Rhinolophus ferrumequinum: one gene and its partners. The protein of the gene in region 3 interacts with the protein of the main gene of each other region in a biochemical or structural test. Links are inferred from orthologs where the notes say so. Each region holds a gene or a part of one and is shown on either strand. Other genes may lie near its edges.

Region 1 (7,987 bases), on a different chromosome or scaffold from region 3:
GACATGGTCCCTGCCATCATGAAGCTTACTTTCAAGTGGGCAAGGTAAGTACAGAAGTAAAATATTTCAAAATATTGATAAACATTGTGGGGGGAGGAAAGTGAAGCAGGGTAATGAGACAAGGATTGATTGCGTGGGATGCAGACTACTTTAGACAGAGTGGTCAGTGAGAGTTCATTGAAGAAGTGTGATGAGGGGAGACTTGAATAATAAAAGGGAGCCAGCCATGAGAAGACCATGGAAAAGAGCACTCCAGCCAAAGAGCAACTGCAAAAAGACCCAGTTTCAGGAATAAAAATAGCCAGTGTGGATAAAGCACAGGAAGTGAGAAAATACAGCAGTACAAGATGAGGTCAAGAGTTATGAAAGGGCTTAGATTCTATTCTATTCGATGTGGTGACTTACCACATGGAGGGTGATCAACATTTTATACCTTCTAATATTTTAAGGGCAGGCACTCAATAAAGATTTGAGTAACATTACCATTTACTTGTTTGAAAATACCCACAAGTTACTTTTGCTCCCAATTATCTCCTTTTTACTGGATTACTTTTCATTCCTTCCACACTTCTTCAGCACAATTATCTGGCACAGGGAACTGCTCACCCCTTCAATGAAGGTAGGTTTGTCCTTTATGCCAAAGTTCCAGAGCATGATATCTCCCCCTTTGGAACCCACAGCCAGGGTGTTGGGGTGCGTTGGGTGCCATGCCAAGGATGTGGCCCTTCTGTCAAAGGGGGCAGCCTTATGGAATATCCGGTAAGAAGCCAGAGAGTGCACAAAGGACTGCTGGAGACACTGACACAGAAAGAAAAGAATTAAGTTGAATTAAAACCCAAGTCCTAAATAAACTGCCAAACTCTGCCTCCTCCATCGATGAGCCCTAGGGCCAAGTCCTCCCACCAAAGGAACACTCACTGCCTGGCTCTGTGCGTGAAAATATTTGCAGTTATGTATGAACTAATCTTGGAGAGTAAGAGGGCAGGTACGCTTCAGCTGGGACCTTTACAGCCTAAGACTTCTACCTGGCTGAGTGCCCAGTAGGCCAATCCCCAAGGGGGTGTGATCTGACCACTCTGACAAACCACTGAACCAACCTAGCATCTAATTTTGGAGCATCCAGTTGTAAAAAGGCACCCTTGAGCAAACCCTTGAGCAGTTCAGCCAGGAAATGCCTCACCTGCTGTAATGATGGCCAAGCAGCTTTGCCCAGCTTATGGTGATGGAGGGCCCTGACGACGCTCCTGCATGGTGGCGGGACCTGAAGGCTAGCCAACCCTGCCCAAAGGCAGCCTGAGTCAAATCTTCTGCTAGAACCTGCCAAGCAGAACACATATTTTCCTCTCCGATCTCACTCAGGAAAGGCTTTTCAGCCGAAATCCCAGAAAGAAAGCCTTGTTGTTTCCTTTGGCATAGTCAATCTCTCTCATCACCTCCCAAGCCTCTTCCATGGTCCGCTCAGTCTCACCCAGCACAAGAAATAGTGAGTAGGGATTCAGCCCCTCCCCCAAAATAGTAATTCTGAAGTGAAACTAAATATGATGGTGCAGAGGTCCTGAGAGCTGAGCCAAAGAAACACACAAGAATAAAGTATATGCAGAGCTCTTCCCAGTTTGGATTGGAAAACTTGTGCTAAGGTTGGGTGACAAAATTAAATCACATATAATGCACAATAAAAAGTTTAGGACAGCGTAGAAGTGACTGGGAAAAGAAGTATCTTTAAATCCTATATTAAAATAATATAGAGGTGACCAGTTGTTGGCCCCAAGTCTAATCTGTTCTCCTGAAAACCAACAGGATCCAGAGAGTCTGGCATGGCTCTAAATTAACTAAGCTACTTTTGGGGAGGCAGAGCCACTTAGATGAGGAATAAAACAACTCTGGATTACCAAGATGTATTTGAAGATCTGATCTCTATGAATCTGGCCTCTTGATAACCAATTCTTTCTTTTCGTGGACAAAAAAACACTTCAACCCCCTGCTCCAGTCTTTCTGAGTTCCCTCACACTCCTTATAGCCCTAGGTTCTAGCTTCAATAAACCTGAGAATGTGTTTTCTAAGGAAGGGAGGAAATTGAAGGCTCTCACAGCTGAAACGAAGGACATACAACTAATAACCGTGACTATTTAAATTCAGTACTCACACCACCAGGCAAGGTGGGATTATTTTAAGTAGTCCTCAGTGTGTCAAAATCCAGATACAAACAAGGAATTTGAAAAGTCCGCTGTGGCTGATGTAATGGAGCTCATCTGCCTCTGTCACCTGAAAGAGGGTAAGCCCAAGCTCTTTGGTGTCAAAAGCCCTGCAGACAATCTGCACAGCTCGAGGCATCTGAAATTTGCAACAGCCTCAGGAACCTAGACGCACCAATCCCCCACTCCAGCCTCCTGCGTGAGAACCCCAAATGACAGAATTATGAAAGCAGCAGGCGCAGGCAGTACCGGGGCCCTTCACACAGAGCTTCTTGGCCTCGGGCTCCTGCTCCCTGGGGCTTCTGTTCCTCTTGCTCTTGGGGCACACAACCACCTCGGGGGTCTTCCGGGTTTCTGGGCGTTTCCTGGGAGCCATCGCGTCCTCCTTGCGAAGGGGTTCTATACCCTATGCAGAGATTATGGAGGGAAGATTGAGAAGCCTCTGGAGAGAAAAAAGGCGAGGACCAGGGAACTGGTCCAACTTCCCGCCAAACATGCCAACTTCCCGCCAAACAGGCTCAAGGCTTCCAAATTGGCGTCTAGTTCCGGCCCCGCCCCTGCCGAAGAGGCCCCGCCTCTCCCGGGAAGGCGGGGGCGCGCGCGGATACCTGGGAAGTGTGTGAGGGGTGGGGCTCATAGGCTCCCTAGAGAAATGGGATAGCACCTACGTGTTGGTCCTGAGCTAGTCGAAAGTCCGCTGACCTGCCAGGAATAAAGATGGCAGCCAGTGCCAGGCCACCCCACTTGAAGCCTCTTCAGACGCGGCGCTGCCAGCTTCAGAGGGTCCACAGCCGGCCAGGTACGTATTAAGGCTTCAGCTCCGCCCTCTCTGTCTTTTAATTGGTGATCATGCCCGCTTGGGCTTCGGGATTGGCTGATCCGTACAGTTAGTGGGAGGTGGCTTTGTAGAAAGCTGGCCACTTCCCAGCGGTGGAAACGGACCTCTTTCCGCCTACAAACTTTGCAATCAGTATAGAGTATTTAATCTCTCCGGTTTAGTAGAATCTCAGCTTCTCTGTGGAGAGTGGTTGAAACTCGCAGCTATTAACTAAGGTTTCCCCAAACCTGCTGCATGTCCGCCTAGGGCGCAGCCTAGGGCAATGAGGGGCTGGAGGGCGTGCCGGGCCAACCCGGCTTAGAGGCCTTGTGCCCGACTTCTGCCAAACGCCAAGGCAGTGACTCACAGGTGAGGCTGCGCTGGCATGCCTGGCCCGACAGGGATGCACCCCACTTTCTGCGACGAGCCAGGCGGAAGCTGGGGTTAGTTGGGAACTGCTGGGCCTTTTCTTCCACGCGCGAAACCCGGTGCCAGGCACCTCGGTAGGGTAAGAGGAAACAAAAATGCATTAACAGTAAAGCCTGCGCTCAAGGACAGGTAAAGATGAAAGACATTTCAAAATATAACTCTTGGAAAAAAAGGAATGCCCCGGAAGCAAAATTCGAAAATGCGTTTTTGATGGGAAGATCAGCTCAGAGTGTTACAAAAGACAGCCACGCAGGGGGCAGGCTGGTGGCTTCTCCCCTGCTGTCTGGTAACTGTGTTTTCAGAGCTGTGTTACAAAAGCAAGCTGGCTCCCTTTTACTCAGACCAGCCATTAGTTTCACCTCAGCAGGGTGCTCATTTCTGGAGGGATACAGCCTACTGAGAAGAGAAGAAAAATAATGTGAAACAAGTCACACAATTCCAGATAGAACACAGTTGACTACTAAATTGTGGCATGCCAACCAAGACTTTTAGATTCATTCAGAAAAGATCATCGAATGGAGCACGTATTTAGGAAAGCCTCACGGGGAAACTGGGATTTCCTGGAGTTGGCTGGGGGAGGGAGAAGAGCCTCCTAGGCAGAGAAACAGCTTGATACAAGTTAGGAATGGGTGTGGGTTATAAGAGAAAAGCAGCCCCTGGCATCTGGGAGCTGGCCTGGTGTTCTGTCAAAATCAATTTCACCAAACAACACCAGACAAGGCCACTCTGTGACCGTAGGGTTTCCTGGCGGGAATTCCCGCCTGTTCTCGTGATTTTTTTTCGTTTTCCCATTCCTGAATCCCAAGAAAAGTTGGTCAGAAAATCGGGAAAACCGGCTCCTTGAACCCAGGTCATTGGTAGTATCGGCCATCACTTTGTGGAAACGATTTATCATGGAGAACAGAAAACAGTTTATATCTCAGGATTCGGGAATGGGAAAGCAAAAAAAATTCCTGAGAACGGGCGGGAAGTCCTGCCCGGAAACCCTAGCCATGATAGGTCAACGCAAAAACATGATCAGTCATATCTGAACACAGGCAAAAGTATGAACATTGTCCAAATCACAAAAATGACCAAGCCACCCCCTATTATTTTGGCTAAAATGAATGACTGCGGCTTCTTTGTCAACCACAGCTTTGGCTTTGCTTCATTCCTCCCACCTTTTAGCTAGCATTTATCAATACCCAATCATAGAATTACGCTCATTTCCTACCAGCCTGCAATCCAGAGCAAAGCCCCACTTCTTTGAACCCTTATCCAAATCATTCGGCAGAAGCCAGTCCTATAAGTTCTTTCTAACACCTTCTTCCAGAGATGTCCCACCATTCCCCATGGTATGTATCCTCTGTTGCAATGAGCACTAAACCCAAAGTTCAACTGTGGACAGGAGTGTCCCTGATGGTATTTGGCTTGGAGGCATTGACATTTATGAGTCTGGTAGGAGACAGCTTAAAGATGAGAAAACTGATTACACAGGGGATCAGTTTTGCAAAGTAAGAGAGGCCAAATAAAGGGCGAAGTTGAATGGCAGGCAAAAGAATTCAAATTTCATTTATTCTACTGACATTTCTCAAAAACCTGCTCTGTTCCAGGAACTATTCCAGTCAAAGAGAATCATGAAATGAAAAATGTCCTTTGGCCACATGGAGTGTGCCTTTTAATAGACAAGTAAACCTACAGCTACCGTAGAGTCTGATAAGCTTAGTGAGAGGAAGCATTGGGTCTGGTGGGGTGGGGGACAGAAACAGGACTCTTTAACTGAGCTTGAAGTGGAATAAAGAAGGGGTAGTGTCAAGGAAGTCTTCCCAGATTCAGACACTTAAACTGAATCTTGAGAGATTGGGGTAGGGAAGAGAGGGAGAGGAATGCAGGCAGAGGGGGTAAGAAATGGAAGAGCAGCGGCGATAGTTAGCCATGATGGATTAATGAGCAACGGGAACGTCCTGCTTAATGCCAGGTTTCCCCAGAATCTGTTTTTAGGATTGAGGAGTTTTCCATGGTGGATTAAACACGCTACATGTGACCAGTGGAAACTTGCCTCACACAGGCCAGTAAAGCGCTTTGTTTCAGGTTGTGCTTTGAAGCATTCTTTCCCTGGGTTTTGCTTTGTTTCACTGCAACATGTCTGCCTAGGGGCTTGATGTTTGTCCATTCCCATTTGGTGATCCATCAGCTGCAGGGTGGACAAAAGCATTTAATACACATTTTTTTGATTCTGCTAATCTAATAACGAGGTGAATGGGGCAAAACTGCTTTGGTCTCTTGTCATGGAAAGACCATGCCATGAAACCCGGTTTATAGGTGTTTTGGTCCTATCTGTGACACTACCTGAGTAGTGTCAAGGCATAAGGCATCACAAGGCAATTCGTTCAAAAGTTGCTGGTGATGGCAAATCAAGGTCTCGTGTTCACACTGGAAGCTGGGCAGACCATGGGCATGACCCTAACTAATGCCAGTTTCTTTGATCTGCAAAACAATAAGTGGCTTAGATGTTTTCTGGAACAAATCATATAGCACAGTGGAAAGAGCATTGTTCTTTCTTAGACTATGTGACCTTGGATTCATGATTTCACTTTTCTATGCCTAAGTCTCTTCATAAAATCAAGGGGAGGGATTGGGTGTTCTCAGATCTCTTCTGGCTTTAAAATCGATGAGCCAGTGACTTGCTGTTAAAGGGGTAGAAACCGGTGACTGCTTTGAACTCGGACGTTTCTGTGGGAAATTTCCATCTAGTAGGAATCACTTTCCTGGTGCAGGCTGATACATGACTCGGATTCTGATCAAGCTGTTTATGGATCCAAACACTCTGCTGAGTCTGCAAAACCATCTTTAATCCACGCGGATGGTGTGTGCAGGCTTCTCCCACACAGTTACTGCATCCAGTGGTTTGCAAATGACAGCCTCAAGGATTCTGCAGAGTTTGCAGGGAACTGAAATGTAAATTCCTCCTAAAGGATTGGAAACAGACGGAATACAGCATCCAGAGTCCTTGTTGCTTGGCATCTCCAACGCATACTTAAATGCCCAAATGTGAATACATTCATAATAATGTTAGTGGAGGCATGGCTCCCACCCTCTGGGAATAGCATTCATTTTCAAAAATACAATTTTGAGTAGCTTTGGAAGTGTCAGACAGCTGTGCAAATACCAAAAAACCCACCTTCTGTCTTTACTGTGGGGGATGAAGCACCATTCCCACACTAAACCAACATCCTGTCATGAAATACTGTTGTAGGTACAGGATGCCAGGAAACTTTTCTCGGCAGCCAGGTTTTCAGCGCAATTGCCGGTGTGCTGAAATAATATATGTGAAAGTACTTTGCAAACTGTGAAGTGTTCTACAAATAGAAGTTGTATGATTTCCAGGTGATATGCTTTTTACTGGGAAGGTCTGATAAAGGTGGTGAGGAAGCTCTTTGCTGTTCGCAGGAGTTCTCACCAGTCTGATAGCCATCATGGAAAGAGGGGACACCAGAGAATCAGAAACCAGGGGTTTGAGTTGTCAGTGCCTTTACTCAGTCTTTCGATGCCAACCAAGACTGCAAAAATCCCAAGTGGCAGAAATAAAAATGGTTCTTTCTCTCTGTGTAACAGCTAAGCCAGTTTCCTATGAGTGGGTGAGTCACATGCTAGTGGGACCGGGAGAACTACATTTGCATTCCTTTACATTTTCCTCTTCCCACTGCCCTGCTTTGGCTCCTGTCCCTACTATGACATGTTCACTCCAGGAGCACGTGACATAAAACTTGCCCAAGGAACCCCAGCTAAGTTTGTCCCTATAGAGGAAGGCAGGAAGCTGCCTGGGTAACTGTGCTTCTTCTTGGGGAAGCCAATAGCTTGGCAGGGGAGGTACCTTGGTACAGCGCTACACGCCTCCTGCCCCACACGCTGTACTCTGAGTGGGCACCCTCCACTCTGCGTGGGCACCCTCCCAGACACGTTGACTGTACACTACTCTCTGTGCTTGACTATCCCATGTCATAAGGCCCCAGAATCTGAGAGTTTTGTCATAATTATAGGCAGTCTAGAAGACCAGGCCACATTTGTGTTGGCAGCACTTAGGCCCCTAATTCATTCTGCAAAGAGACATATTTGTGAAATGGGATGAAGAGAAACTCTGAAAGGCAGCCTGCTTTTTAAGTTCAAGAAGCTTTTTTTAAAACTAGATTTCCAAGGCTAACAGCTGTGGCCTCCTCTAGCCCAGTGTGGTGGGGTGAATGGTGGTCTCTGAAAAGGTATATCCACCTCCTAATCCCCAGAAACTATGAATGTTATTTAATTTAGGAAAAAAAGGATCTTTGCAGATGTGGTTAAGAGTTTTAAGATGAGCTCATCCTGGATTATCTGAGTAGGCTCTAAATCCGGTGGTGAGTGTCCTTATAAGATTGAGCAGAGGGAGATGAGACGGCACAGAGAAGATGATGTGAAGACAGAGGCAGAGATCAGAGTGATATGATGAAACTAAAGGGATGCCAAAGATTGCTAGACTGCCGGTAACCCTTAGAACCTACAAGAAGGGCAAGTAAAGACTCTTCCCTCAGAGTCTGCA
Region 2 (6,920 bases), on a different chromosome or scaffold from region 3:
TGTAGTGGAACACACTAAAAGCCTTGTTTTAAGACAAAAGCAGTGAAATAAAAAACAATGGTTTTAAACCTATCACCAGTGTTAACTGCTCATGACCATAAGTTTGCGTTTCCAATGAAGGATTTTGAGATAAAAGGCCATATAATAAGGAAACAAGTGGAAGAAAATGAAATTGAACGAAATTCTCACACAAGACTAAAACATAAAACTGTAATTTTCATACATTTTTACATATCACAAAGGTAAAAAACTCAAAGATAAAGAAATCTAACACAACAAAATTGGAAATTAAACCATTCTATTTAAATAGGGCTGAAATTAATAAGCTTTTAATTTAAATCAGTGTAGGCTACAGGGAATCCTCTTTATATACTATCTACTCCAAACTGAGAGGATTCTCCACACTCCTTTCACATTTAAGCTAAAATATTACAATTTGAAAAGTTGTTTTTTTTCAAACTCCATTGGAATGAGATTATTCTAACTAGACTGTCAATTGCCCCAAACAATGATACTTTTTGGAAACTAAACTTCATTCCACTAGATTTAGCCAGTAAATTTTGCTAAATAATCCTTTGCTAGAAGTTATATAAATTCCATGTTGTGAAACTAATTTTTTCAGTATCTATAAATAAAAATTTATACTTGACAAAAGACATTCCTCAACTAATAACTTGTATATTTAGTGATTTTAAATATCTGCATCTGAAAGCATAGTGTATCGTGACCACAAAAGATGAGACATACAACTGGTAAGGGTACTGCTATTACACAATATTCTAAATAGTGCTTTTAGTAGGTATTCAGTGCCTATCACAGGCATAAATATTTAACATTCCCCTATCAATTCTTCACATTTTCTACTAAGTTGACCCAACTTCAAGCCTGAAACTGAGGCTTCTACCTTTAGAAGAGAAAAAAACAAAAGTAATTGGGTAGTCCTAAATATACACACCATAACTACATGACTTAAGATCCTCATTTAAAACTTTTGCCAAGATAGCCCCTCCCTTCAAAACAAACTACGATTGACTCACACTGCTCTATTTGACTTAACTTTGGAAATACAAAAATTAAATGCTTTCCTAAGAACTCATTTCCCTCGGTCTCTGCATACACCATTTAAAACATTCAACCTTCAATCTGATCCATCCCTTCCAAAATGGTAAAAAACAAAAACAACAACAACAAAAAAAACACAACACCTCAGTATCTCTAAATTATCTACCATGGAATAAAAAAAAAAATACACCATATTCAAGAATAATAACCACCGTTCTAAAGTCTTGGAAAACAATGGAAGCAATGTCTGTGGTCGCTGTCTGCGGAGCCGTCCTACTCGGTGAAACCATTTCACCTCAGATGATACTTTTAATCTGTGAGACCACCCCATTTTCTAGAGTTAACCACCTGAGCAAAGGGTTTCAATTTCGTCTCACTAAAGTGGAAAACTATCAATCACCCTACATAATAAGTTCCACCCTCTAGATATTTCTACATGTAGGAACAAAACAACAACAACAAAGCCAGTAAAGTTGGTGGCAGGGTGAGGACAAAGAGCATTTTGAAACACTACAGAAGTAAATAGAGAATGAGGACAGAAAGGGGGCTAAATTAAAGTTCCCTCAAATGAATAAAGGAAAGAAAACGCAGGTACCCTTGTTTACCACCCCTAAGCCCCCATTCTTCACTACCGCCCACTGGAATGCAAAGTTGGAACTACCACTCCGTCAGAAGCCCATCAAATCCTCAAGATGTCAGGTCACCAGGCAGCCTCTGGAATGACAGGCTAATACCCCTCCCCCCACACCCCCCAAAAAAGAAAGGTTCAATCCAATAAGTGCAGGTCACTCTGCCCTCTGGGGCAGTTCCAGCCGGCGCAGGGATGGTTCAGATGGGAGGACGAGAGGGGAAAGACAGACCACCTTTCTTCCCTTACACCTTCCGCTGAGGAAACAAAACAAAGACAGCCGCCCTCCTCCCCAGGTCGCCTCTACACTAGCCAGAGAGGCTTTCCTATTTCCCGGTGCAGTCTAGCCTCCCGCCCCCGCCCCCATGACAAAGAAAAGGCACTTGGTGAGCAAGGCCTTCCTGCCTCCACGAGTGGGGGAAGGGGCTGCCGAGGTGAGGAGCCCCCTCCGCTAACCCGCGCTCACACTCGCTCACCCTTGGCCCCGAAAAGAGCCAAAAGCGGCTGGGAACAGAGGCCTCCGCCGGGGAATCCTGGTCTAGGAGGGGATGGGGGTACCTTGAAGTAGCCGCCTTCATAGAGGGTGTTGGGGGGTCCGAAGATGGCAACCTCCCAGTTGTAGAGGTCGGACTCATCCACCAGGGTGATCCGGAAGCCCTCCACCGGTTCCTCCTGCAGGGATTTCAGCTCTAGCATCAGGGCCTTCTGTGAGCTGGTCATCTGCTGCTGGGCCATCGCGGCTGCGGCGGCGGCAGCGCCGGGCCGGGGCCCCAGTCCTCACGCACCGGCCGAGCCGGACCAAGCCCCTCCCCTCCGCTCGCGCTCGGGCCGGGCCGCACCGGGCCCTTGTCTTCACACACCCGGCGGGCCGGACCAGGCCCCAGACGGCCCGTGGGCCGACCCGGGTCCTCCTCACACACGACGCGGGCCGGGCCCTCCTCCTCACACTCCGGCCAGGTGGGGGGAGGGGTTCAGGGAGTTAAGAAAATTCGCTCCCGGTCCCGGGCCTCCCCCCCCCGGAGGGGGCCTCAACTTAGGGGGGGGGGAGAAGAGGTGGAAGCCCAGGAAGGCGGCGAAGGGCAGGCGACGGTGAGGGGAGGGGGGCAGGCCGGCCCGGGAGCGCCGCGCTCGCTCGCCCTCTCGTTCTCCTCAGGGGCCGCCGGAGCCGGAGGGTGCGCGGGGCCGAAGGGCGGGGGGAGCGCAGTGATCGGGGGTCTCGCGGCGGCAGCGGCGGCGGCGGCTGCGCGTGGGGAGGGGCGACAGCGGAGGAGGAGGAGAAGAGAGAGAGCGCCTCGCGCCGCGGGAGCGACGGAGCGGAGAAGAACGAGGGAGGGAGAGAAGGAGGAGGGGCGCACGCCGGGAGGGGGGAGGCTCTCGGCGGCTGGCGGCCCGACGCGCTTGCGCGCGCCCCTCCCTCCCCCGCCCTCCTCGCCCTCCTCCTCCTCCTCCTCCCACTTCCCCGCCTCCTCTCAGTGGCCCAGCGCGGTGGCGGCGCTTTGTGACGCCAGAGCTTGTACCCCGCCCTTAAAGGGCCGAGCAGCTGTAAGGGCGGAGGGTAGCCTCAAGGGATGCCCTTGGCCCCAAAGTGACGGTTGGATGCCCTGGTTCCTTAGGCGCGCCCGGGAAGGGACCTCTGGTCTTAGAGCCATCAGCGCCCTCCTACCGCATCCACAGGCCTCCTCAGCCATCCTCCCAGGAGCCCTGGTCCCCTGCAGGCCCCTCCCCGTGACACACAGTCCGCTGTCCCTACACTCTGCAGATGCTTGACAAGGATGTGCTGAGAATGTGGGCCTTATCGGTGGGAACAAGCGTCCTGACATCTCTTCTGCAGGTCCAGCCCTCACGCCAGTGTGTCTTTGGAGGGCAGTGTGTGGCACCCATTTGGGGGAGTGGGTGAGGCCAGTTTCCATTGAGAAATGCGGAAGGCAGATAGGCCAGCTTTCTACTTCCCTTCTTAACTACAAAGAGGAAGCTTGTGGGAAATAGAAAATAATAATACTGATTGAACCAAGGTTCCTGGCCCTTCTCTCTGTGATTTGAGGCAAGTGCTCTGGCTATCCCTCAGTTTACCCATTTGTAAAATGAAGTACTGTGGGTGAACTTTGACCCCCTACAGAGCCTTACAGCTTGAAGGTCCAACCTGGGATTGAGGGACTTTTAAGATAATCATGGCTGAAGTGAGATGTGGAGTCTTCAATCCCCGTGATTTAGATAGACTGCCCCTTTCTCTTAGGAAAGCATGTCCTGTGATAACTGTCTAAATGTTTTCTATTATAGAAAAGCCAACATACTGTGAAAGTTCCAGAATTGGGGGATCAGAAAGATCCTTTGTTCCAACCCTGGCTCCACCATTTACATTACCTCTTCCTTTTCCATCAGCTTCTGTAAAAGAGGGTTAATTATATGTAATATAAGCAATTGTAAAGATTAATTGAGATTATCTGTACACAAGGTTTAGCACAATGACTGGAACATGGTAAATGATCCATAAGTAGGAACTTTAAAGGAAGAAAAATAATTTAAAGGCATAGCTGTATTCTGGATGTGATCCCTCCCACTGTTTAATAGACTTTTTCACAACAGGTTTAGATTTCTAGAAAAATTGAGAAGATAGTACAGAGAGTTCCCATATTTTCCCATAGGCACCCAATTTCCCCTATTATTAACATCGTACAGTAATATAGTACATGTATTACAATTATGAATCAAAATTGTTATTAACTAAAGTCTTTACTCACATTTCCTTAGTTTTTACCTAATGTCCTTTTTCTGTTCCAGGATCTCATCCTGAACACCACATTATATTTAGTTTTCATGTTTTTCACTTTGACATTTTCTCAGACTTTCCTTGTTTTTGATTACCTTGACAGTTTTGAAGAGCACTAGTCAAGTATGCTGTAGAATGTCCCTCAATTAGGATATGTGTTGTTTTTCTCATAATTAAACCAGGATTATAGGGTTTTGGGGAGAAGATCACAGAGGTAAAAAAAAACAAAAAACATTTTCATCACATCATATCAAGGGCACATAATGCCAACATGCCATCAGTGTTGATATTGACCTCACTCACCTGACTGAGGTAGTGTATCAGGTTTCTCCATTGTAAAGTTACTCTTTTTACCTTCTTTCGATACTGTACACTTTAGAAGGAAATCTCTATGCACAAACCACACTGAAGGAGCCCTTTCATTTTTTTGTTCTTTTTTTCTCAGAAGTGAGGTTTCAGTATTTTAATGAATCATTCCCTAGCGCCCAACTCTATTCAGTAGGCCTTGAGGCCAAACTCCACTGGAATTAGAGCTCACTTCAGAGAAGGGGGACTGTTTTAGTAGTGCAGCCTCACCTCCCAAAATGATGGTATGTGACTGATTCTGACTTCCTCTCCACCAGTCAATTTAGGGACAAGAAGATTGCTGACCTGGAAACGTGGGAGATGATGTTGACACCTTTAATAACAAGACTGTAAATAGACAAATAGGCAGAAAGTTCATCTTCAAAGCATTTCACCCACATAAACTCATCACAGCCCCACCCTGACCCAGAAGTTGGTAGATCCTTAGCCTAACCCACTGGAACATAGACCTGGCACCCAGATCAGAAGCTGTGCCCTGGGCTCAAATCAACTCACAAACTCATACTAAATATCCACAGTGGGCATGGCCCTGAGCTGGGTGACTAATAAACATACACCTGTCTAGGAGGCTCACAGCCTAGTGTGTTACTAATGCATTGTGTACTTAAGGTCCTACATTCTTAGGTCAGAGGAACTAGAATTCCACAGAACTTGTCTCATGCCTTTTTATCCTAGCAGGTAAGACAGTGTTTATTAGTAGGTTGCGACTGTGTCTTATTCATCCCTGGATCCTGAGCAAACAGCACACGTCTGACATAAAGTAGACACTAAGTCATTGTTCTCATGGGCTTGCAACTAAGGACAGGAAGACAATCATTAACAAAACAAAACAAAACAAAAATCCCAAATTGGGCAGCCGGTTGGCTCAGGTGGTTAGAGCACAGTGCTCATAACACCCAGGTCGCCGATTCGATTCCCAGATGGGCCAGTGAGCTGCGAACTCCACAAATAGATTGAAAACAACGACTTGACTTGGAGCTGATGGGTCCTGGAAAAATACACTCTTCTCCAATATTCCCCAAGAAAAATTTTTTTAAAAACCCCAAACTGAACCCCACCTTCCACCTCCATGTTTTATAGGATCTCTCAGACACATAGTAGGTGCTCAAGATTATAAATTCCACAAGGATGACACGTTTTATTCATAACCATATACAAGCTACTACAATGTTTGGCAAACAGTGGGTACTCAAAACATGTTTGTTAGAAGAATGAATGGCAGAAACAGCTTCCTAGACCTTTCTCACATTGTTTCATAATGACAAGTAGAGATTGACTTTGCTGATTGGTGCCCTCTGGTGGTAAAGAAAACAGGATATTTACTCTAAGCACAGCATCACCTGATACTCTACAACCAGGGCTCTTTTGAAGAATCTATTACCTTTCTCGCAAAGAGAAAAAATAAAGGAAATCTTAGTAAGATAAATGAGAAGGACTGGTATTTGCTTTAGAAAGATTCTGACCTTATAGAATGACTCTGTTTAGGGGGCCAACATTTTTTTCATTCTGCATATGTTAACTAACACATGTAAATCTTGAATAGTGCACTTAAGGAGCACTAATCTTCCTTTAATAGCAACAGCTAACATTTGCTGTGTATCAATATGTGACAGGCTCTTTATATGCAGTATCCCACTTAATTCTCACAAAAATCTATAACATGGCTATTTACTGAGTATAATAAAGCTTAGAAAGGTTAAGAAAGTCACCCAATGTCACTCAGTGAGTAAATGGCAGAAACTCAGGTTGAACCTTGGTCATCCCACTTTAGTGTGACTGCTCTTAACCGCCAAGCTGTAATGTTCCTCATCTAACGTGCCCACAGCAATGTGTGCATATCATAACACCCCAGTGCTATACTACAATTATTTGTTTACATCTTTCTCCGAGCATCCAAGGTGCTCTTAAGAAAGAGACATTCATTCACTCAACAAATATTTATCGAGTGCCTGCTATATGACAGACCCTGTGCCAAATGCCAAGAATACAATAGTGAATGAAACAGAAATGACTGGGCCTTACCTCATAGAGCGTACATTCTAGTGGCTGAGACAAAAATAGACAAAAGCAAGTAATCAATAGACAAATAATATTGAC
Region 3 (6,929 bases):
TTAGACCAAGATAGGGGGACAAGAGGTGGAGAATATTCCAGGCAGAAGGAACAGGAATAAAAAAGAGCATGGACACTTCAAGAATGGAGAGCCAGAGCAACTAACTACTAGACTGAGCAGGAGAGTGGCTCACGATGATGCTGGAGAGGTAGATGAGTGATTTAAAACTAAGTGCCTACAATTTTAATTCTAGAAAGTTGACATTTCTTTGCCCCACTTCTGATCTCAATAGAAAACCATTTTAATACCTGGATGAAAAAGTAATCTCAACTTTTTCTAATGTGGTCAACCTTCTTGCCCCTATTGCTATATGGATACTAAGTCTGTCAATAGCTATCAAGTTCACCATGTGTTGACCACCACGTGTGACGGAGTATGTGGAGATTTAAATGAAATTTTAGTGCAATTAATTGCCTATTTAGATGTTGGCAGTGATGTCCTTTTACACATCGGGCTAACATGCAAAATCCTTATTTCTTAGGCTTTTCTTTATAAATCTTGCTGAGCACAAACTAACTCGGATAGAATATTTTAGCTCAAAGTTTACCATTTTTGCCTTTGAGTTTGGGTCCGAGATGGGAAATACAAAGGAATGATCCACAATGCCTCTGGGTCCACAATTCACTGTAAATGTGACTATGCCATCTTTAGATTGAGTAGATATATTCTGAGAGATGGGTATGCCTCCAGTACATCATAAAAACTAATCTGTTTCAAACATACCAATGGACTAGATGCAGAAGACCTCAAGTGCTCTGACTGTGCTTTGTATTTCATTGTGAAGAATAAATAACATTGGTGACCATCAGAAAAGCCACAATCTCTGTAACCTTCTCAATTATCCCTCCCCCCCCCCATTTACTTACAAAGATCCATAATGTGGTTCCTGCAGATGGCACAATTATCAACCACAATGTCCCAGGCCCACAGGGCTACTGCATTCCACTGCAAAAAGAAAAAGGGGCACGATGCAGTCATACACATACGCATACACACACTCTAGGATTTCATGCTGCAGTGGCAAGTTAGCATCTCTTTGGCCACAGGGACCACCAAACAAGAGTCTTTGGATATTACTTTCTTCTTATTTATTGCATTAGATGGCAATAGTAAGCTATACATATGCTCACCCATTTCCCAAACAGCTGAGTACATGAACACAGAAATTAATGTGTCATCTTCTAATTTTACTTTTTCCTACAGCTTAAAATGATCTGGTCAGCTATATCAATGTAAGCAAATCAGGAATAATTTGTAAGTGCTCATTTCAGGTTTAATGAGTAGAGTCAAATTATTGTGCAGGTTCCCTGGCAGTTGCAGGAGAGCTCAATTTCTGCATAAATAAATATCTGCTCTTCAACGCAAGCATGAGTGGGGAGGTGAACCCTAGGAACAGAATGAACTAAGATGATGATTGGATCATAAAATGGGTAATCGTGGGATAAGCTGGATAAAATAATTACCCAGTGTCAGTACACAGAACAAGGTCATCACTTAAGTCTTACAAGATTACTTCCTAACAAATTCTAGAATTCACTAGAATTTTGTTTAGCTCCTACCATCAAATAAACTGATGGGCTCAACTTTTCATGTGAAGACTCTTATATATAGTTAATTCCAGTAGGAGTTTATCTAAAAGTGGCATTTAAGTAATTCAACCTTCTGGCTTCTGCAATTATAAATATTCACAAACTTCCTTTTCATCCACTAATTTGATGCCACTTCCCAAACTGTCATCTCTTTCAATCCAATTTTCAGTGTCTTAGTAACTTCTTCAGCACTTTTTACCAGACAGCTTCAACTTGGAGGAAAAAAATCCTACTTCTATTATTATTCAATATGGCTGCTGATTGTAACTGAACACGCAGTGCCCACAATGAAACACCAAAAATCAACTAGGAGGGGGAATATTGCCAGTGTTTAGCCAGATGTTCTAGGAATAACATCGCCCCTATTTCAGAATCTTCATTTTGAACAGATTTATTTTATCTTAAGTGGAAATCGACACCTTTCCTCCTGTTAGGAAACCACGATAAGGCATTTCATGCAAAAAGACACGTTCCACATTTTTCGCTATCCCACTTTTAGCAGGTCGTTCGCAACTAGTACTTAACCCTCACTCAATGAAACAAGATTTGGGCTCGCATTTTCTTTATAACAAATTCCAACATGGTGTTTTGGTTTGTTTTTTTTTTTTGGAGGGGGATTCTGGATATGACCACATGACTGGGGCGGCTTGTGTGACAATCAACAGATCTCTCAAAAGAGCCAAGAGTTACACTCAAAACAAGACACTAACTCGGCCGGGCTCGGGACACAGAGGGGGTTAATGATAATGGACGCCTCGACTAGGCTAGGACCGGGTCTGGGTCCCTCACAGAGAGAGACCCCGAGGTTCGTAGAGGGGCGGGGCAGGGAGATCACCAGCCTATCTCCTCAGAGGCCTCCAATGCGGTAGGACCTCAGGTTCCCGGCTTTCGCCGCACTGCCCCATCCTCCACCCACCGCATCGCTCCGACTCCCCGCCTTCTACCCACCCCACCCTCTCCTTCCCCACCCCTCCACCACTCCAGTGACAGCTCAGGCGCTTGGCTCCCGCAGCCAAGTCGCAACCCCGCGTATCTCAATAAGCACATCCGTGATTGGCCCTTCAGCCTCTTAGCGAAACCAATAGCGCCACTGACAGTGGACCGCAGGCATGCCGATCAACCCTAAGACCCGCCCTCCGGCTTCCTTTCGTGGTACCCGGTCCCAGGAACGCCCTGAAATGAAGCCCTTTCCTCCGCGCCTCGGTCATCCACGGGCCTGCCAGCCAGATCCGCGCCTCTCTAGCTTCCCTGAGGAAGGCGCTGGCGAGACCCAACCTTTTTCACTTCAAAGCGCTTCTTGCCCGCGCCGCTGTTGGTGCCGGTCGGGGTATCCACATCCATCGCTGCCGCCATTTTGGAAACACACGGTCCGTCGTCCGGCCACTGCGCCTGCGCACCAGCGCACGCCTCGCTCCCCCTCCCGCCCCGGCACCTCCTCCCGCCCCCCATCCCTTACTGGCGCGCGAGGAGCAGGTGGGGGCGGAGCATGAGGCCACGCCTCTTAAAGGCGCTGGCGCAGGTCACCCTCCCTCTTGCGTCGGCGGGGGAGGAGGCGGCGGTCGGAGCAGCTGGGGCGGGGCCGGGCGGGGCAGGGTAGACGTGAGCGAGCCGGGTGGAAACGTTCGAAAGGACTCGCTCTCGTCGCCCTCCCCTGGGAAGCCCCCGGCCACACTCCCTCAGCTTGGGCGGCGGCTGCTTCCTCCGCCGCGGCTGCGACCTGCCGCCCCGGCCCCGCCCCGCCTCTCCGGCCGCCGCGCTGCTGGCATGCCGGCGGCTTTTCCACTGCGTTCAGTCTGGGAAGAGGCTAGGGTGGACGCCCCCCTTCCTGCTGCGGAAACCCGAGTCCGCACACTGGCGGTTCGCAAATCCTCACCCGCTAACGATACAGGCTCGCGATACAGCTTCCCTGGGAGGCCTGAGGCTGGGGAGATCAGGGGCCCAGGGCACCGTTTGGTTTTCTGAGTCCAGTTCAGGAAATGATCAGGATTCGACCGGGAGACAGGAGCTCCCCGAATGTTCTCCCCAGGGCCAAACTGTGCAGGCATTCCCCAGCCCTGCCTTCAGCTGCCCACCTGAAATAGGTGGAAGAAGGAGGCTTGGGAGCCTGGGAGGTGCCATTTCCAGCCCGCCCGAAATACCAGTCCGTCCCAGAATGGTATTTGGTTAAGGTACACGATTTCAACTTCACGCAGTTCAGCACACATTTCCCATTCCCAATTGGTCATCTAACTGTGGGGTCCTTCCTCCCTAATTTTGGTCCTTTTCCCCGCTCCTAGCACTGTGCTTGGATCTGTGGTCGCAGTACTTCTTGAATTTGTTGTATGAGGCATTCAGCTATTTATTCTTCCCGGTCATTCTTTCCCAGCCAAAGCACCTGTATTTTGTTACCTTCGCATTTCTAGACCGGACATCTGATCTAGATAATCCCTTTTGCTTCTCTCCTCTTGCAGAAATATAATTTAGGTCACTCTTAACTCTTACATTGGCTTATTTGAAATCTCATATTTTCTCTTAAAAGAAAATTGGAGCGCAATGGAGTGTTGACTCCGTTGCTAAACGGGACTAATTGCGATTTGTTTCCCTGCTGTAGTCATAAACAGGAATATCAAATCCGTGAAAACATTACAGCTTTAACCAGACTTAGAGAAAAATTGAGACCTTAAAAGCATTATAGGAACCCTACAAAGTTTTTCTTAGCTCAAGTTTTGTTAAATTAATTCCATGTTAAGATTTTTGTCACCTATTTATTGTGTCCTAAAGGCCCCTATAGGAATACTAGAAAACCATAGTAAGTTATTGAGGACATATTTATGCTTCATTCAACAAATTCATTGAGTATGTACCAGGTCCTGTTATAAACAGGAGAGATTCAGTGATAAAAGGAGTCAAATTCCTACTAGGGAAATAATACACAAGTCAATGAATAAATATATCAGAAAATCTCTGGTATCGAGCGCTGTGAAGAAGACAAAACAAGGTTATGAGATTGATGGGAGTCGGAAGCAACATTAAATTGGGGGGTTAGGCCTCTATGAGGAGTGACATTTAAGCTTAAGTCCTTACTATGGCTTAAAAGGCCTTGCATGATTTGCTACCCATTCATTTTACGATGCTTTAAAAAAAAATGCTACATGTACTTTCTATCATAGTTTTTTCATTTTTTGGGTTTATTTTTGTATGTCCTTACTAATAGAGGGGATTTTGATTGTTTTGTTTATTGATAACAAAAACTGGAACAGTGCCTGGTACATTGTAGGTGCTCAGTATGTCTTGAATGAATAATTTTGAAGCTTTTAGAGCAAGAAGAGTGTGGTAAGAGATGTTGGACAAGCAGGCAGGGCCAGATTAGATACGGATTTTATTGCAGATGTTATGGAAAGATATTGGAGGAGTAAATTATGGGAGGGGACTAACTGACAATCTTAAAGATTGTAAAAGTTTTAAAGCTTTGTGAAAAAGGGATTGTAAGGATAAAAGAGAGGAAGCAGCAACAATTTCCAAGTTGTCTGATTTGTATATAGCTATGATGGGAAGATGTATGATCTTAGGGGTGGTTCCATTAAGCTCTGAAAACCTCATCTGCTATCTCTTTTGGAGATTTGCCTTGCTGTGGCAATTGGCATAACATTCTGTATACTACATTCTGCTGCATAAGCCTACGAAAACTTTTTGTAGGTTTCATACAGATTCTTATTCTTCATAATTTCACTCAGTTTACAATGCAATAGGTTATGATTTTACTTTAGTATTATTCCTTTCAGCCATCTGTCCATTCAACAAATATTTCTAAAATATCTGCAGAACCTGCTGTGTGTCAATTACACCATGATCGTCTATATAAAAAGTAATCTGATATTTTAAGTTTTTGCAAAAGGCCCCATTTCATCATTCAACTTATGGTGTGGTAGTAGAGAGGTGAGTCAATTAATGATAATTCCAGTGAGTTTTAGGAAAGGGAAGTATACGGTACTGTGAAATAGAAAGCAAATCTAAGGGTTAGGAGGTAGTCCTCTTAGAGGAAATGGTTTGAGATTGAAGGATGAGCCAGACAAAGGGGTGGAAGCAGTGGTATGCTGGTAAATGTTTTAAAATCAGCTAAAAAAAACCCAAACCTTGATTTGTATCTTAAGCAGCCAGATTTCAAAGTTCCTGAAAGTTTAACAATTGCTCTTGTAAGCTGATGTAAGTTGGCTCAGCACTCACACAAACAGATATGGGAGAAGGTGGCATTCCAGGTAGAGCCAACAGTAGAAGGGGCTGGAAGCTGGAGTATGTACTCGTATAGAGCACTGGTAAAGAAGCTTGGAATGGATGGAATATAAAGAGAAACAGTGAAATGAGTCTGCAATAATATTCAAGAGTCAATAGTTAGCATCTCTTCCATATTCCGCAACATCATGTTGGTAGCTTAAAATTGGCCATAATAGTAGTATTTATACCATGGAAATCAGCAAACACTACAAATCAGGGTTCCTCCTACCACACAGAATTGGTTGTTAAACATTTACCACTGGTAGGGGCCAGGTCATGCAAGGCTGTTCAAAAGATCCATGCAAAGAGTTTTGGTTTTAGTGATAGGAAGCCATTGAAGGGTTTTACCAAGCGAGTCGCATGGTCAGATATGCCCTTTAAAAAGGGTTAGACAGGACTTCCACTTCTGGGAAGATGGAGTAGACATACTTTTCTCTATCTTCCCTCTAAGTACAACTGAAATCCCTGGACATATTTAAAATAAAATAAAATTTAACAATAACAAATAAGAAGACTTTGAGATGGAGAGAAGGCAGACCAGTTAGGGAGCTCAGGATTTGAGGAATGATGTGGTAGTGAGTTTCCTGGGTTTTCTTATTGTCTCATACATCCCCCCCAGACTTGGAGATGAAGAAGCTAGAATCCCCAAAATGCTAATAAGTGCAAACAAAAAAGCCCTAACAAAAGGCTGCTTTTTCAAGCAAACAGAAAACTTTTAGAAAATATCTGCTCTACTCTATCCAAACAACACAGAAAAATTGTGGCCCCACTCCCACCCATGCCAGCAAAGCTGAGTGGGGATCCTAGTCTATACAGCTCACAAATCTGTAACCAGGTGCCCTAACACCTATGCCAGGGTGGTAGAAGCCAATTAGGGAGTTGGAACTTTTATCCTTTCTGGCTGATAAGCCCCCCTACCCCTGTGGTAAGAGGGAACATAAGGGGGTCAAGGCTTTCACTCCCACCCAGCAGTAACAAGACACCCCTGCCCATCCTTGCTGGGGTGGTGTTAGAAGAAACCTAGTGGAGAGTTAGGACTTTCACCATCGCCCATCAATCATGAGGCCACCTCCACTGCAGTGTCAGTAG
Region 4 (7,692 bases), on a different chromosome or scaffold from region 3:
TGATTAGTCATTGCCTCTTTAATAAAAAGCCCAACAGATTTGGTATTAAATACATTTTTTCCTTCAGAATCTTCTGCATTTTCTGCAAACACTCCAGCATATTTCAGGCAGACTGCTAGCTGCTTATCTTCAGATATCTTCCAAATCATCCCTCCCTGTTCAGGACACTTTTCAGGGACACTGAGAAGGCTGTTAAGTCTTTTCATTGATTCTATACTTAAGACAATTCCTCCTTCTACACTCACATATTCAAAGTCTCCAGATTTTATAGTGTGGCCCAGATAGAAAGGTTGTGATGGATCCTTTTTTAACAAAAAATACTTTAAGTTTTCAATAATAGCAAACGTGGAGGGGCGTGCAAGGAAGAACCAGTTGTACTGGTCTCTATATTTATCAAAGGTGTATTTGTAAGCTTTTCTCATTATTAACCACATGTCATTTGTTTCCATGTTAATTGACTCAAACACTTTAACATTTTCAGAACTGAAGAACTCCGCTTTGTCACAGTGTTTGGTCCAAGTCTCCTTCACTGCAGCCCAAAGACTCACATCTTTGGGTTTTACAAGGATGATACAGTATACCCGAAAGCTCTTACTGAGCTCCATGCGTTCATCCTCTGAAATTTTCAAGATATCTTCTTTCTTAGGAGCTTGTAGGTGATGATGCTCATGGTGGTACATTCTATTTCCATAACCAATTCTAATGTGTCCTAGCATAGTGATCAAGGCACAGAAAATGCTTCCCAGCATCACACCCTTCAAAAATGAACTGCTTTCAGAAAGCATTTTTCCTATAAAGAAGAAAAAAATCCTTAGGATACTTAAAAGAAAAGGATTAACCTAGTGATTTGATTTGGTATTCCATATGTATACTTACATTTTGGTCTTAACATTAAATAAAGGTTCCCAAATTTGAAATCAAGTTAGTTGCATGTAAGTACCAAAGGGTCTAATAATAATTAGCTTCCAATTTATACTGTTCAGTATAAACTGGAACTTTGCAGCAACACCTCTCTGCAGAATTTTCTGGGAGGCTATTTTTGTATTTCATCTATGGGGATTTAATTAACCAAGTACTAAAAGCATTAACTCGAGTAGCCAATGTTACATAGATTATTCTTCCATCATTCTGTTTAAAGGAATTTCGTATCAGAAGCTTGCATTATATTATTTAAATACCTCTTCAGATACAGACTTTTACATCAAAATCTTAAATTGAACAGATAAAACCACCCACAATTGGCAAATCAATGGTATCTGTGCTGGCATTTTTGTTCTCAACCTAGTGCTTTATTTAACTGATGATTGTTGTCCTTAGGTGTTTTGAGTACATGTAAAGCAAGTTTCTTGAAATTGACACAGTGTATGTTAATATTTACCCTATTGTTCCTAAGACTAAATGGTTTCCAATACAGTATCCCAACTAACTCATGTAATCAAAGCCCACAATGAAAATAGTTAAATTATTTGAATGATAATTTGGGGCACCATTCTGGGGAACCATTAATGAACAGTTTTACTTCCTCCAAGGCATTTTCTTATTCTTTGGGGAAGTAAAAGGAGAAAAGTTTACACTTTTACTTAAATTATAAATTAAAAGAAAACCCAACATTAAATAGAACTGTCGAGATTTTCACAATCTCCCCTCTATCTCCACAAGGAATGGTGTACTTAGCTACTGAGATTCTCCCTTTGTCTCTTAAAGTTGAAAAGGGTCTTAGAAGCTACCTAATGTAATTTCTCTCATTTTACAGCTAGGGAGAGGGTCCAGAGAGTTTAAGTAACTGACCCAAAGTCACAGAGTTAGTTAGTGGTAGAACTGAACTAGAAATCAGATCTCCTGACATCAATTTAATGCCTTTTCTATTACAGAATAATGATCTCAACAGTGCTTCTACTGCCCCTGAGCCATTTGAGAATTTACTGATATTACCGAGAATTTAATAAATAAGTTACTGAATAACCTTGTTTTCCTACAAATCAAAAAAACAAACAAAAACCTGTGGGATTTTTAACCATAGCTGACACTTTGGACACGACATCACTACACTGCTACGAGGAAACCATCCCGTGATATTCTTCTACAGGAAATGGACTTGGACTTGTACTAGAAGGACAAGGTGTGGAATAGCTTGGCAGATGTAATTCCTGAGTGTGGGTGTGGGGGTGGGGAAAGAGGCAGGATGGTTTTCCTGTGCCACTCACAGAACTTGGTCAATAAACACAGCTCTAAGAAGGAAAAGAGAATTGACAGGACACAAGCTCTGCTTAATATTAGAATTGTCAGATGCACTCTAAAATTGATTTAGATAGAATTTTCGCACTTCATATTATGCTATTTTCATTTCTGGCTAATATATGATAATTCATACGTGTCTCTTAGCTTAATAATGCATATGTATGTCAGAATTCTTCTCGATGGGGTCACTACTTATGGCTTATTTGCACCAATTATTACAAAGAGATCGTTTTTTTAAATCAGGGTGGCAAAAAATGTAACACGGGAGATGCACATGATAGCATATTTGGTGCAGAAGAGGGGGAAACTTAAACTGCACACAGGCACAAATAAAGCAGACAATATCAGTGTTTTCTGAGATGCATCGTTTTAGAAGGTGAAGATGGTTGGGGTGGAGTATAGAAAAGGGAGGACGAAACGGAAACCAGGAGGGAGGACATGGTCACTTCAAGATCCCATTGCGGGGCCAAAGAGGGCCTTCAAGAAGGCGGCTCTCGGTCTACCGCCCGCACTACTCCCACTGCACCTGCCCGGGTACCCCGCATAGAGCATGCTGGGAGTGGGCCAGGGCCCAGGCCATCCCCCAAAGAAGGGCGGGGTTGGGCCGCTTCGGGGGCCGCTCCAGATGCAGGCCGATGCCCCCAGCACTCACCAGCGTCTAGAACGGTTCAGGGGCGGGAAAACACACCCGCGCACGGCTTTCCTCTCACGTTCGCGCGCGCCCCTCGGGTACGCTCCTGGTCGGGCTGCTCTAGATGCAGGCGGTGTAACCTCGTTGGTTTCGCTAGAGGTGGGTAGGGCCAGGAAGTGGACGCCGCGACAGCGCTGGCAGCGGGGCGGGGCAAACGAGCCCTCGGCCAGGCGGAGACATCGGCCAGCGCAGACGTCGGAAGGACCAAGCGCGCGCACAGCGCCCACGCACCGCGCACGCAGCGCGTCCTTTCTCCCCGCCCTCTGCTGAGGTCAGAGAGGCGCGTCCTGCTGGCTTGATCCGCACGCTCGCCTGTACCAATGGGACGCCTAGAGAAGTGTGCAGGCGTAGGACCTGCTGATACCTCCCACCTCTTCATTTTCCGGGCGTGAAAGCTGCGAGAGCAAGGAAGAGCATTGCTGGTTGCAGCTCTTGTGGCACACCTTTCAATGGTTTCTCAAATGTACTCTTCCGTTACTCCTTGGGCCAAAATGAAAGCGACTTGGGCCAAAATGGAAGCGACTGAAATAGACATCGAATTATGAAGGCAAGGATTCACTGTGGTCATTGGAAGGACATCTGAAGCTCCACTGTCTGGAATCCAATCCATCTTCACCGTTCCCTTTGGTATGCTAGAAAAGTGGCTTCACCTCATTATGCTTCAGTTCCCTCCTTTGTAAAGTACAGAAAATATCACGGTAGTGCTATCTCATAGGAGGTTAAATGAGATAGTGCATATGACTCCAACAAAAGACCAAACATAAAGTAAGCATTCATTGAATTTTGGCTATTATTTTTTACCCCTGTATCACTAGCACTTAGCCTGCTGCTAGCCTGTAGTAGACAGTACACGTTTTTGAAATTAATGAATGCTAGAGCTACAGATGAGGAACCAGGACCAGAAAGGATAAAGCACTTTCTAAAGGCCACAGAGAAATTAATGGCAGAGGTAGGACTAGAACCTAGGTCTCCTAAATTGCACTAAACATGCCATCTTCCATTTTAAATTCATTTTTGTGACAGACGGGTTTTGCTAAAACAGTACAAATTCTTACAAATATTTAAAACGTACTGTTAACTAGCTTCCATCCAAATAACACTGAGTGGTGACTTACTCCATACCTGAGCTCCTAAAGACACGTATATTTGACTATTGGCAATGACCTAGTTTAAGTAGACTGAAGGTTTCAAGAAGCACTGAGACAATGAACAAATCGATTTTAGGCAATTACTATCCTGACAGCACTCCTAAATTCTGGAGTTACAGTGGTGAACAAAATTAGTCCCCTGCCTTCATGGAGCTGTCAGTCTAGCAGAGAAGAAAGGCATTAAACAATTCATTACAAATAATTACAATAGTGTTATGTCCTTTAAAGAAATACAAAAATGAATTTTAGAACTGGAAAGGAACTTAAGACTGCAGAGTATATTCACTGTATTTTGTTAAATAATATATATTGTCTATTTTCACATATGTAGATATATGTGTATGTATGTGCATATGTATATGTATATAGTTAAGTGACACAAGTTGCGGAATAATGTGTATAGTATGATTATACTTTGCTGAAAATGAACAGAGTTTTCTATGTGTGCACATATATTTGATCTGTTTGTATGAGCAAAGAGTTGTGGAAGGCTCCTCAGCAAGCTGTTACTATTGATTACATCAGGAGGTCGAGGTGTGGGTGATTAACTTTCTCTTTATACATCCTCCTATTGTGTTGTTTCACTGGATATAACAAGCATTTGTTACTTTTGAAGACCAGCAAATAAAGGGACAAAATTAGAGGTACAAAATGGGCAAGACGGAAAGATACTTCTTTTAAAGAATGCAGAGAACCAGTCTCTTCTTGCCAAAAGGCACCAATGAAGGACAGATAGAAATGACACTCAGGATTCAGAGACAGTGACGACCAGGCAGTTAAGAAATACAAATTGGTAGTGACAAGAGTCACAGGGATGTACAGTACAGTATGGGGAATATAGTCAATGATATTGTAAAAACTGAACACTGTCAGATGGGACATAGACATATGGAGGTTATTACTTTGTGAGGTATATAAATGTCTAATCACTATGTCACTTTGTACACCTGAAACTAATGAAAAAATAAATACAATGCATCTTATGTCTAGTACAGGGAGGTTAACCAAACTGGAAATATTGCTACAAGAAACAGAATAAACCTCAGGATTTTCAACACCAAAAGCACTGTTAATGGGAGATTGCCTAAAAACCCAGTTCTCTACTTAAAGCAGAGCTTAAATATTTTTAGCATTGGAAATGAAGTTAGTGTGATGATGGACTTGCAGTTAGGTGATTGCAGTTTTAGAACACCATTCTACGTTATAGCCCTAACTTAAAAATGCATGCAATTAATATCTGTTAAAATTAAGAATATTTATACTCTTTGGCCCAGCAAACCTGCTTCAGGTAATCTCTCCCCCAGAAATTAAAGCACCAGAATGTAAGGCTAAATGTATAAGGGCAAATACATTGTTGTTTATAAAATAGCAAAAGTGGGGAACATCCACCAATAAGAGAATGGTTTAAGTAATTATGATACAGCCATGTAGTGGAATATTAAGCATAAAATAAACATCTTATTTCAGTAACCTGCACTAAACATTTCACTAAACATATTAACCTGCACCTTGTGGGGGAGGGTTGCTTTTGAGTTTAGTTGCCTTCATGTACCCAGTAGGTAAGTAAGGCAAGATTGCATTCAAAACTGAAACAATGCATTTTTGGTAAAGCCCTCCTCCCAAGTGTATGCATTATTCATAATGAGAAGTCATTAATTTCCAGTAATTGGAGATTCAGTAGCATGTGAGCACTCGAATTTTCGAAATCACTGCAAAGGCCTTTGGGAAATGAACATGGCTTTCTACAACAGTTCACTGGAATAATAAAATCTACTTTTGACACAACTACCCGTTTATAAGGAGCACAAAGGACAGAGAAACATATTAAAGGAAACAGGATGAGACTATTTGCACCAGACTGGGTAAATGTACGAGATGAAAAACCAGATTTCTTCAACAAAAAAGATCTACTTTCTTCTGGGCAGAAGTAGTACACGTACTACAGGTACTTAATGTTGGTAAACACAGGAGACATTTTGTTTTTAGTAGTTTCAGGTGCACAAAACAATGTAATAGACATTTATCATTTATATCCCTCACACAGTGATAACCCCCCTCCCCCGATCCACTATCCCTCTGACATCACACACAGCCATGGCATTTCCACTGTCTCTATTCCTAAGGCTGTACTCCAATTCTTGTAAATATATATATATATATACACACATATATATATATATATTTATTATATATATAAAATTGTAGTTGATATTCATTATTGTTCAGCTTCAGCTTCAGGTGTACAGTGCAGTGATCAGGCATCTACATCTTCCCTGAGGTGGTCTCCCTAATGGGACAAGTGTCCATTGGATACCCTACAAAATCTTTACAACATTATTGATTACATTCCCCAAATTGACTTTCATATCCCCGTGGCAATCTTGTGGTTACCTATTGTGCTTTCTAATCCCCTGACCTTCCCCCTTATCCCTACACCCCCTCCCATCTAGCAAACTTCAGTTTTTCCTCTATGTCTCTGAGACTGTTTCTGATTAGTTCATTCATTTATTCTTTTCTTCAGATTCCACATATACGTGAGATCATATGGTATTTGTCTTTCTCTGTCTGACTTATTTCACTTAGCATAATGTTCTCTAGATCCATCCATACTGTTGCAAATGGTAAGATTTCTTTCTTCTTTATGGCTGCGTAATACTCCATTGTATAAATGTACCACATTTTCTTAATCCAGTCGTCTACCGATGGGTATTTCGGTTTCCATGTCTTGGCTATTGTGTATAGTGCTGCAGTAAACATAGGGGTGCATACATTTTTTTGAATTAGAGTTTTGGATTTCTCCATATACATACCTAGGAGTTGAATTACTGGGTCATAAGGTAGTTCCATTTTCAGATATTTGAGATTCCTCCGTACTATTTTCCATAGTGGCTGCACCAATCTGCAATCCCACCAACAGTGCACGAGGGTTCCCTTTTCTCCACATTCTCGCCAGCACTTGTTGTTTGTTGATTTATTAATGATAGCCATTTTGACTGGGGTGAGGTGGTATATCATTGTGGTTTTTATTTGCATTTCTCTAATGATTAGTGAGATTGAGCATTTTTTCATACATCTGCCGTCTGTATGTCCTTTTTAGAAAAAACTCTCTTCATGTCCTCTGCCTATATTTTAATTGGCTTATTTGTTTTTTTGGAGTTGAATTGAGTGAGTTTTTTTTTTTTTATAAATTTGGGATATTAACCCCTTATGGATATTATCATTGGCAAATATCTTCTCCCAATCAGTAGGATCCCTTTTTGTTTTATTGATGATTTCCTTTGCTGTGAAAAACTTTTTAGTTTAATATAATCCCACATGTTTATTTTTTCTCTTATGTCCCTTGCCCGAGGGGATATATCAGTAAAAATCTTACTCCGGATAATGTCTGTGAAGTTTCTTCCTATGTTTTCTTCTAGGAATTTTATGGCTTCAGATCTCACATTTAAGTCTCTAATCCATTTTGAATATATTCTTGTATATGGTATAACGAGGTACTCCAGCTTCATATTTGCATGTGTCTGTCCAGGTTTCCCAGCACCATTTATTGAATAGACTGTCTTTACCCCACCATAGATTTTTGCTTCCATTGTTGTAGATTAAATGACCATTTGGCAT

What was found.
Region 1: the proteins of RBX1 (region 3) and DDB2 form a complex in vitro, tested with the Homo sapiens proteins (2 studies listed by BioGRID, with this or other methods). The link is inferred for Rhinolophus ferrumequinum from reciprocal best matches to the Homo sapiens genes RBX1 and DDB2.
Region 2: the proteins of RBX1 (region 3) and UBE2R2 form a complex in vitro, tested with the Homo sapiens proteins (10 studies listed by BioGRID). The link is inferred for Rhinolophus ferrumequinum from reciprocal best matches to the Homo sapiens genes RBX1 and UBE2R2.
Region 4: the proteins of RBX1 (region 3) and CUL4B form a complex in vitro, tested with the Homo sapiens proteins (4 studies listed by BioGRID, with this or other methods). The link is inferred for Rhinolophus ferrumequinum from reciprocal best matches to the Homo sapiens genes RBX1 and CUL4B.

The regions. Positions count from the first base shown.
Region 1 is NC_046294.1:13,949,969-13,957,955, forward strand, and holds the start of DDB2 (DNA damage-binding protein 2), read right to left. Parts: upstream 3,002-7,987; 5' UTR 2,895-3,001; exon of another isoform or gene 2,861-2,894; intron 2,599-2,860; 5' UTR 2,569-2,598; coding exon 2,442-2,568; intron 1,318-2,441; coding exon 1,181-1,317; intron 799-1,180; coding exon 607-798; intron 1-606.
Region 2 is NC_046295.1:50,521,862-50,528,781, reverse strand, and holds the start of UBE2R2 (ubiquitin-conjugating enzyme E2 R2), read right to left. Parts: upstream 3,017-6,920; 5' UTR 2,426-3,016; coding exon 2,249-2,425; intron 1-2,248. UniProt on the Homo sapiens protein: E2 ubiquitin-conjugating enzyme that accepts ubiquitin from an E1 ubiquitin-activating protein, and catalyzes its covalent attachment to other proteins by an E3 ubiquitin-protein ligase complex.
Region 3 is NC_046293.1:6,875,393-6,882,321, forward strand, and holds the start of RBX1 (E3 ubiquitin-protein ligase RBX1), read right to left. Parts: upstream 3,023-6,929; 5' UTR 2,943-3,022; coding exon 2,865-2,942; intron 946-2,864; coding exon 867-945; intron 1-866. UniProt on the Homo sapiens protein: E3 ubiquitin ligase component of multiple cullin-RING-based E3 ubiquitin-protein ligase (CRLs) complexes which mediate the ubiquitination and subsequent proteasomal degradation of target proteins, including proteins involved in cell cycle progression, signal transduction, transcription and transcription-coupled nucleotide excision repair.
Region 4 is NC_046284.1:36,157,307-36,164,998, reverse strand, and holds the start of CUL4B (cullin-4B), read right to left. Parts: upstream 3,023-7,692; 5' UTR 2,891-3,022; intron 791-2,890; exon of another isoform or gene 786-790; coding exon of another isoform or gene 1-785. Other genes in the region: C1GALT1C1 (C1GALT1-specific chaperone 1), read right to left, coding at 1-785.